Bombyx mori: one gene and its partner. The protein of the gene in region 1 purifies or fractionates together with the protein of each later gene. This does not show direct contact. Links are inferred from orthologs where the notes say so. Each region holds a gene or a part of one and is shown on either strand. Other genes may lie near its edges. The genes, in order: AP-2 complex subunit alpha and protein numb.

Region 1 (4,420 bases):
GCAACTAATTTCACCATGACTTTGTACGTTTCTTTTGAACCAATTTAATTTTTGACGTTGATGGAAATTCTAAATTCTCGCAGCATTTTCTAGTTAAGTTTAAGTCACATCGTTTAAATAATATGTATTTAGATATATTATTGTCATAAAATGTTTAAAATCCTGTAAAGTGGATTGATTTTAACCTTTTCGATAATTTTCAACAACGCCCTAAAGGATAAGACGTCCGGTGCATTCGTATGAAGCGATGCACCGGTGTTCGAATCCCGCAGGCGGGTACCAATTTTTCTAATGAAATACGCACTCAACAAATGTTAACGATTGACTTCCACGGTGAAGGAATAACATCGTGTAATAAAAATGAAACCCGCAAAATTATAATTTGCGTAATTACTGGTGGTAGGACCTCTTGGGAGTCCACACGGGTAGGTACCACCACCCCACCTATTTCCGCCGTGAAGCAGTAATGCGTTTCGGTTCGAAGGGTGGGGTAGCCGTTGTAGCTGTACTGAGACCTTAGAACTTGTATCTCGAGGTGGGTGGCGCATTTACGTTGTAGATGTCTATGGGTTCCGGTAGCCACTTGACATCAGGTGGGCTGTGAGCTCGTCCACCTATCTAAGCAATAAAAAAAAAGCCCAAGCTACTACTGATACTACTGATAACTAAGACAGGGGTCCAAATTACGAGATTTTGTGGAAAATCCTCTAAGCTAGCAACACTGCTTTTTGTTTGTAAAATGTGCGAGAGGGACACCACCACTTAATAGTCATTCTCTTTTCAGACCGTTTTTCCTTACATCTTTTGCTATTTAAAAATAAACTTTAAGCCATAGAGATAAAGTATATTTTTAGTTTTTATGTCAAACGAAGTAAGCACTCCAGTTAGAATAGTAACTCTATGACTAAATGACATACCGTATTTTTTAAGACTACATGGCCTGGAAAAATACTAGGTTTCCTACTTCAGTGAAAAATACAAAATCAAACTCTACAGGCTTGAGACTAGGGTTAGAATGAATTGAAATCAGTTTGTTAAAAAATCGATTTTGATTAAGTACTTTTTTATACTAGGCAATCTCAAAATAAGATAAAAGCATCGAACGAATTTTATATTTTATAATACTATTAATAAAAATAAAAAAAAACAAACCTTTAAATTAAAAGTACGAATTCATGTAGTAAGCGCAACGCCTTGGATTACAAAATGTAGGTATTATTTCCACAATCCATGGCTGAGGCATCTTTAAAACGAAACTTTTTGCTCGTTGTTTTTGACAGCTGTCAAATTAAGTAGTGAGAACACACAATTTTTTAAAACCCGACCTTATGTCCTATATCTGAAAGTCGAATATTCGTAAGTATGAAAGTGTAGGTGCAGGTCAATATTGATCCATAAACAACGTTCTGTGACGTTTCCTCCAATCTATGGAAAAAGGAAGGCGTTGTAGAACTTGTAGAATTTGTCGAACGGAGGGCGCTCATCTTCATGGTTAAATCGTAATGACGGCCGATAGCTATTGAAATTTTACACCGGGTTCTTGTAGTTCGCTTTGTAGCATAGTGTTAGCAGAATTAAACTATTTCATTTCTAAAAAAGTGTAAAGAAAAGGCTTAAAACTGGTGTTCGATAAGTCACTTGGCAATATGCCTGCCGTCAGAGGAGATGGTATGCGAGGGCTCGCTGTCTTTATCTCAGACATAAGAAACTGTAAGAGTAAAGAAGCAGAAATAAAGAGAATCAACAAGGAGCTTGCAAATATAAGAAGTAAGTTTAAGGGTGATAAAACTCTAGATGGATATCAAAAGAAGAAGTATGTGTGTAAACTTCTGTTTATATTTCTGCTCGGACATGATATCGACTTCGGGCACATGGAAGCAGTAAACTTACTTTCATCCAATAAATACTCCGAAAAACAGATTGGATACCTTTTCATATCTGTCCTAGTCAATACCAACAGTGACCTCATTAAACTTATCATTCAGAGCATTAAAAACGACTTGCAGTCTCGCAATCCTATTCATGTAAACTTAGCTCTTCAATGTATTGCCAACATTGGTAGCAAAGATATGGCTGAAGCTTTTGGTACTGAAATACCCAAACTTCTTGTCTCTGGTGATACCATGGATGTAGTGAAACAATCTGCTGCACTTTGCCTCCTTCGCTTATTTCGCAAATCTCCTGAGATAATACCTGGAGGAGAGTGGACTTCTCGCATAATTCATCTTTTGAATGACCCCCATATGGGTGTAGTAACTGCAGCGACATCTTTGATTGATGCTCTTGTAAAGAAGAATCCTGATGAGTATAAGGGTTGTGTAACATTGGCTGTAGCTCGACTTAGCAGAATTGTTACTGCCAGTTACACAGATTTACAAGATTATACATATTACTTTGTACCTGCTCCTTGGTTGTCTGTCAAACTGTTACGCCTCTTACAAAACTACACCCCTCCATCTGAAGAACCTGGAGTTCGAGGACGTCTTTCAGAATGCCTAGAAACAATATTCAACAAAGCTCAAGAACCACCAAAATCTAAAAAAGTGCAACATTCCAATGCCAAGAATGCTGTTCTTTTTGAAGCAATAAGTCTTATTATACACAACGACAGTGAACCTAACTTATTAGTTCGTGCTTGCAATCAGCTGGGACAATTTCTTAGTAATCGTGAAACTAACTTGCGCTATTTAGCTCTTGAATCAATGTGTCATTTAGCTACATCAGAATTTTCTCATGAAGCAGTAAAAAAGCATCAAGAAATAGTAATCCTCTCAATGAAAATGGAAAAAGATGTTTCTGTCAGGCAGCAGGCTGTAGATCTTCTGTATGCAATGTGTGATAAGACTAATGCAGAAGAAATTGTACAAGAAATGTTAGCTTATTTAGAAACTGCTGATTATTCAATCAGAGAAGAAATGGTGTTAAAAGTTGCTATATTAGCAGAAAAGTATGCTACAGATTTCACTTGGTATGTGGATGTAATTCTTAATCTTATAAGAATTGCTGGTGATTATGTCTCAGAAGAAGTTTGGTACAGAGTAATTCAAATAGTAATAAATAGAGATGAAGTTCAAGCATATGCTGCTAAAACTGTATTTGAAGCATTACAAGCCCCAACATGCCATGAGAATATGGTTAAAGTTGGAGGATACATTCTGGGAGAGTTTGGTAACTTGATAGCTGGAGATACAAGATCATCACCACAAGTTCAGTTTGAACTTCTACATTCCAAATACCATTTGTGTTCTGTTGCAACAAGAGCCCTATTGTTATCAACGTATATAAAGTTGGTTAATCTTTTCCCAGAAATAAAAAATAGAGTTCAAGAAGTATTTAAGGCAGATTCTAATTTACGTTCAGCTGATGTTGAGTTGCAACAAAGGGCATCAGAATACTTGCAACTTAGTATTGTAGCCAGTACAGATGTTTTAGCCACAGTATTAGAAGAAATGCCTGCTTTCCCTGAAAGAGAATCTTCTATCTTAGCAGTATTGAAAAAGAAGAAGCCAGGTCGTATTCCAGATGATGTTAGAGAATCAAAGAGCCCTCTGCCCACTGTTGCTCCCACTGCTATACTAAATTCTACTAACAATACTAATAGCTCCAGTGCTGATCTCCTAGGACTGTCTACACCACCTGGTTCTGCAGCCCCTACTACAGGGAATGGCTTATTGGATGTACTTGGAGATTTGTACACATCAACAAAAATAAGCCCCAGTACTGTACAGCAAAATAACATCAAAAAGTTTTTGTTTAAAAACAATGGGGTGCTTTTTGAAAATGAATTGATCCAAATTGGTGTTAAAAGTGAGTTCAGACAAAATCTTGGCAGAATTGGCCTATTTTATGGCAACAAAACCCAATTTCCAATCCAGAATGTCCATCCTGAGTTACATTGGACTGACTTGCATAAGTTGAATGTACAAATGAAACCAATGGAACCTATATTGGAAGCAGGTGCTCAAATCCAACAAATGTTGACAGCTGAATGTATAGAAGATTTTACTGATGTACCAAGCATGTCAGTCTCATTTATATATAACAATGTACCACAGAAAATAACAATGAAACTCCCACTCACCCTTAACAAATTCTTTGAACCAACTGAAATGAATGGTGAATCATTCTTTGCACGGTGGAAAAATTTGGGAGGCGAACAACAGAGAGCCCAAAAGATTTTCAAAGCTCAGGGACCGATTGATTTGACTGGCACAAGAACAAAATTGGCTGGATTTGGCATGCAATTATTAGATGGTATCGATCCTAATCCAGATAACTTTGTATGTGCCGGCATTGTCCATACAAAGATGCAACAAGTTGGATGTTTAATGAGACTGGAACCTAACAAACAAGCTCAAATGTACAGACTAACCATACGATCTAGTAAGGAGTCAGTTTCTCAAGAAATCTGCAACTTACT
Region 2 (3,828 bases), on another chromosome or scaffold:
GATTCCTTTTGTTTGTTTTAAGTTCATTTTATATAAAAGTTTAGGTCTTTTACTTATCGATTGAGGCACTATCTGCCGGGTCAGCTAGTCAGTAATAAAATACGATCAGCCAATAAAATATAATTGGAAAACTAAACGGGATAAACGAAGCCCGTACGCATACATAGGCTGCAAACAAACAAACACTTATTTTTGTGTTTATTAGATAATTTTATGTATCAGTCAAATACCTAAATCCTCGTTCGTGATTTCTGTCGGGCGCGCAGAAGGACACCTTCTCGATGGTCTGATCTACTATCAGTCCTTTTGTTTCTTCTTCCACCACCCTCAGACCGTCGCCGCTCACGTGAAGGACTGCTCTAATTGGACGACGACGTGAATTCTGGAATATGTAAATAAACATTAAAGGACAATGCCCAAAAGTGGGCCAATTTTATGTCAACACTATTTGTAATAAAACAACTTAATTTTAGCTGCAGAAAAAAACAGATTTCTCTTAAACCTGGGTGAGAATATAAAAATCGTTTTCTAAATATGAAACGATATTTCTTTGTCTATCAAATTAAGTTAAAACCATCATGACTCGACAACTTTTTTTAAGGGCTCAAACGCTCTAAGAAAATGGGCATTGTCCTTTGCAGATATTGTTTCTTTAGATCAAAGTACGTTTTAATAAGGATGGGATGATTTGACAGATGCTGTCGGTGGAAGATAGCATTTCAAAACTTATTGACGTAATGAAATGTTGACGAAATTTTATTGCAAATTAATCTATCTATATGTTCTATATGTCTATATGTTCCCTATTGACTCCGAAATGGCTCGTCCAATCCTCGATGAATTTTTCAGGAAATCTTCAGATCGGTCGAACTGTAGTGATCGGACCTTTTTTTTTATCCTACCTAAGCTGATAACCTTGAGAGGCTATATCAGCGGAACCTTAACTAGTAGGTGAGCTCACGGGGCTCAAACCTGACGAGATCGGACCAAAGACAAATCAGAGATAGGCCAACAAAGCGCCCTGGATTTGATTGGTCAGTAATAATTATAAAAGCATCGTACAACCTATTAAATCGATAAACAATTGTTAATGATTTTAAAAGTCACGGTCGCTCGTTTCTCAGTCAATTGAAATTGGAATGTCCTGGTAATACAATGCTGAATTCATTGGTTCTCGTTAACGATCGAAATGGCAAAAAATCTAGTATCGATCTTGTAGGATGTAAATAACCGGTCCGATTCAAGGTCGATCACTTTAAACGGCTATAGATTTTTACTTGCCTTCGCAACTATAGTTTTGAACGTGTCCAATGTAAAAAAATAATTAATTTTTTTTTTAGAAGACTAGACATTATTGTCAGCCAGTTGTTTTCTTTTATTATTTTTTATATGAAAAAAATTGTTAATTAACCTAAAATGTTAGGATATAGGAATGGCGTTATAAATACAGTTGTATCGCGAAGTGAAGAGACGTCATTCCAACATGTCTTGAGATACCAGCCCGTAGACGTATAATAAATAGATTGAAAACAATCTTATTCTTCGAACTGAGTGTTACTAAATGTGTTGTACTGACCCTGAGAACTTTGAGTGCCTCTTCGCAGACCTGCATACCCCGAGACTCGAAGACCTCGACGCAGCCGAGATACTTGACGGGGAAAGTGCAGGTACCGGCACGAACAGCCGCCTCGTCGGCGTGCCATTGGTGCGGCCGCGCTGATTCCGGCGGCGAGCCCTTGCGGCGTCGGAACGACTCGCGGAAGGAACGTCGCAACCGCTCCATGCCAGCACGCGGCGGCGACAGCGCAGCGCCAGCGCGCGCTCGTCTCAGCGAGCTTCGCACTGACGATTTCTGAAAACACATTAGACACTCTTTACCAATCGCAGCGGATAAAGTGGCGGATGAAAGGCGATTGCATGCAGCAGAGATGCGAACGTTGCGATGGATGTGTGGAGTAACGAGAATGGATAGAATACGGAATGAATATGTTAGAGGAAGTCTGAAAGTGGCACCTGTGACAGAGAGGCTGAGAAGTGCGCGTTTGGGATGATATGGACATGTGATGAGACGAAATGAAAATGAGGTTGGTAAGAGAATGTTAACTATGAATGTGGAAGGACATAGAGGAAGAGGTAGACCTAAGAAATGGATGGATTGCGTGAAAGACGATATGGGTAAGAGGGGAGTGAGCGAAGAAATAGGATATAATAGAAGAGTATGGAAGGAGAAAACATGTTGCGCCGACCCCAGGTGACTGGGAGAAGGGCAAGATAATGACCATGATGATACCAATCACAGCAAAATTGAAGTTAATTAATATATAATTTCGTCATATTCTGACGAAAAAACCGTTATATACGAATTTTTGGATTTAAAACATGAAGCTAATCCAGTCGCGAATTAAGGTCAGACGAAGATAAAACGTTACTGTCGATTTTCAAATGCTTAAGGGCACTACGATAGTATCTTTTTGCCTATTATCTAATTTGGCGATGGAGAAACATAGATTTTAATTAATCAAAATAGCGAGGTAGAAATTTAAGTATCAATTTAAATATATTTTTATCAGAATCAGCTTTCGAATCTCTTCGAGTTCACTAGGTAAAGCGGCCTAATAAATCTGAAAAGTTTCTATTTACATACGCTATTAGGAACAGAATGTAATCATTTGCGTAATGGTGATAAATATATTTTACATATTGGTTATTGACAACACGCTCAGCATTCACGACCGTGTTAGGACATTACAAAATCAATAATTTTTTCTATCGAGATTTTGTAAATATATATTTTGGATTAGTCCGAGGCACCTTGTCAAATTATTATCTTATCCGATTGTTGTCATGTGATTATCAAATTTACTGTTTTCAGATTAATCAAGAAACAATAAAGAAATCACGATCGATGTCTACTGTGCCACATGGCTCGTTCCTTGTTGTATAAAACTATTCAGAAATTAAAGATTTTAGTCCGAAGATACAAAGTTACATACATCGTGTTTTTTTTCTTTTGGGAGCTTCGAATAAGAAATACGTAGAGGAAGGCACTCTAGGAATGACAATTTATAGGTTACAACTGATTTGTTAATAATAAGGTAATTTTTTTTAGGCAATGGCTCCACCTTGTCCTCTGATTATATAGGTACACCATCGCCTTGAAAAGCGATGACACCTTGAATTAATTATTTAAAATATTAATTCTTCTTTTTGTTCACCTTATCCCACTAGGTGGGGTTGGCACAGCTAACTTTTCTCTTCCATTCTCTTCTATCAGCCGTCAGCTCAACACTCACTCTTCTCTCTCTCATATCGTAATTCACACACACGCACGCACACTCCATACATGTCTTCTTCGGTCGACCTCTTCCTCCTCTATATTATTAATTGAAATATCACTTAAAATATTATAATATTCCAAATAATTATTTAAAAATGTACTTTTGTTGATTAATTTAATATTTTTGGTTTGTATAATTGTAGACTAGTTTTAGGAATAAAATGATATCTTAGAGATATACTTTGAGCTTTAAATAAGTTATCATGACTCCATCAACATTATGTGTCGGCACACGTCAGTTTCCTGATGTGATTCTTGATCTGATTCGGTATAAGGAATTCCGCATTCAAATGCCTGCACATTTCATTTAAATACAGAATATTTTTGTTTTTTTTTTTATTGCCCTTGTAGGCAGACGAGCATACGGCCCACCTGATGGTGAGTGGTTACCGTCGCCCATGGACTTCAGCAATGCCAGGGGCAGAGCCAAGCCGCTGCCTACCGTTTAATACTCTCCACAAGCCTCGTTTGAAGAAGGACATGTCATAGCG

The links.
Region 2: the proteins of AP-2 complex subunit alpha (region 1) and protein numb purify together in Drosophila melanogaster (affinity purification with western blotting; 5 studies listed by BioGRID). This does not show direct contact. The link is inferred for Bombyx mori from reciprocal best matches to the Drosophila melanogaster genes AP-2alpha and numb.

The regions. Positions count from the first base shown.
Region 1 is NC_085114.1:9,468,516-9,472,935, forward strand, and holds the start of AP-2 complex subunit alpha, read left to right. Parts: upstream 1-1,411; 5' UTR 1,412-1,646; coding exon 1,647-4,420. UniProt on the Drosophila melanogaster protein: Adaptins are components of the adapter complexes which link clathrin to receptors in coated vesicles. Clathrin-associated protein complexes are believed to interact with the cytoplasmic tails of membrane proteins, leading to their selection and concentration.
Region 2 is NC_085118.1:8,445,136-8,448,963, reverse strand, and holds part of protein numb, read right to left. Parts: exon of another isoform or gene 3,665-3,828; intron 1,853-3,664; coding exon 1,577-1,852; intron 383-1,576; coding exon 231-382; intron 1-230.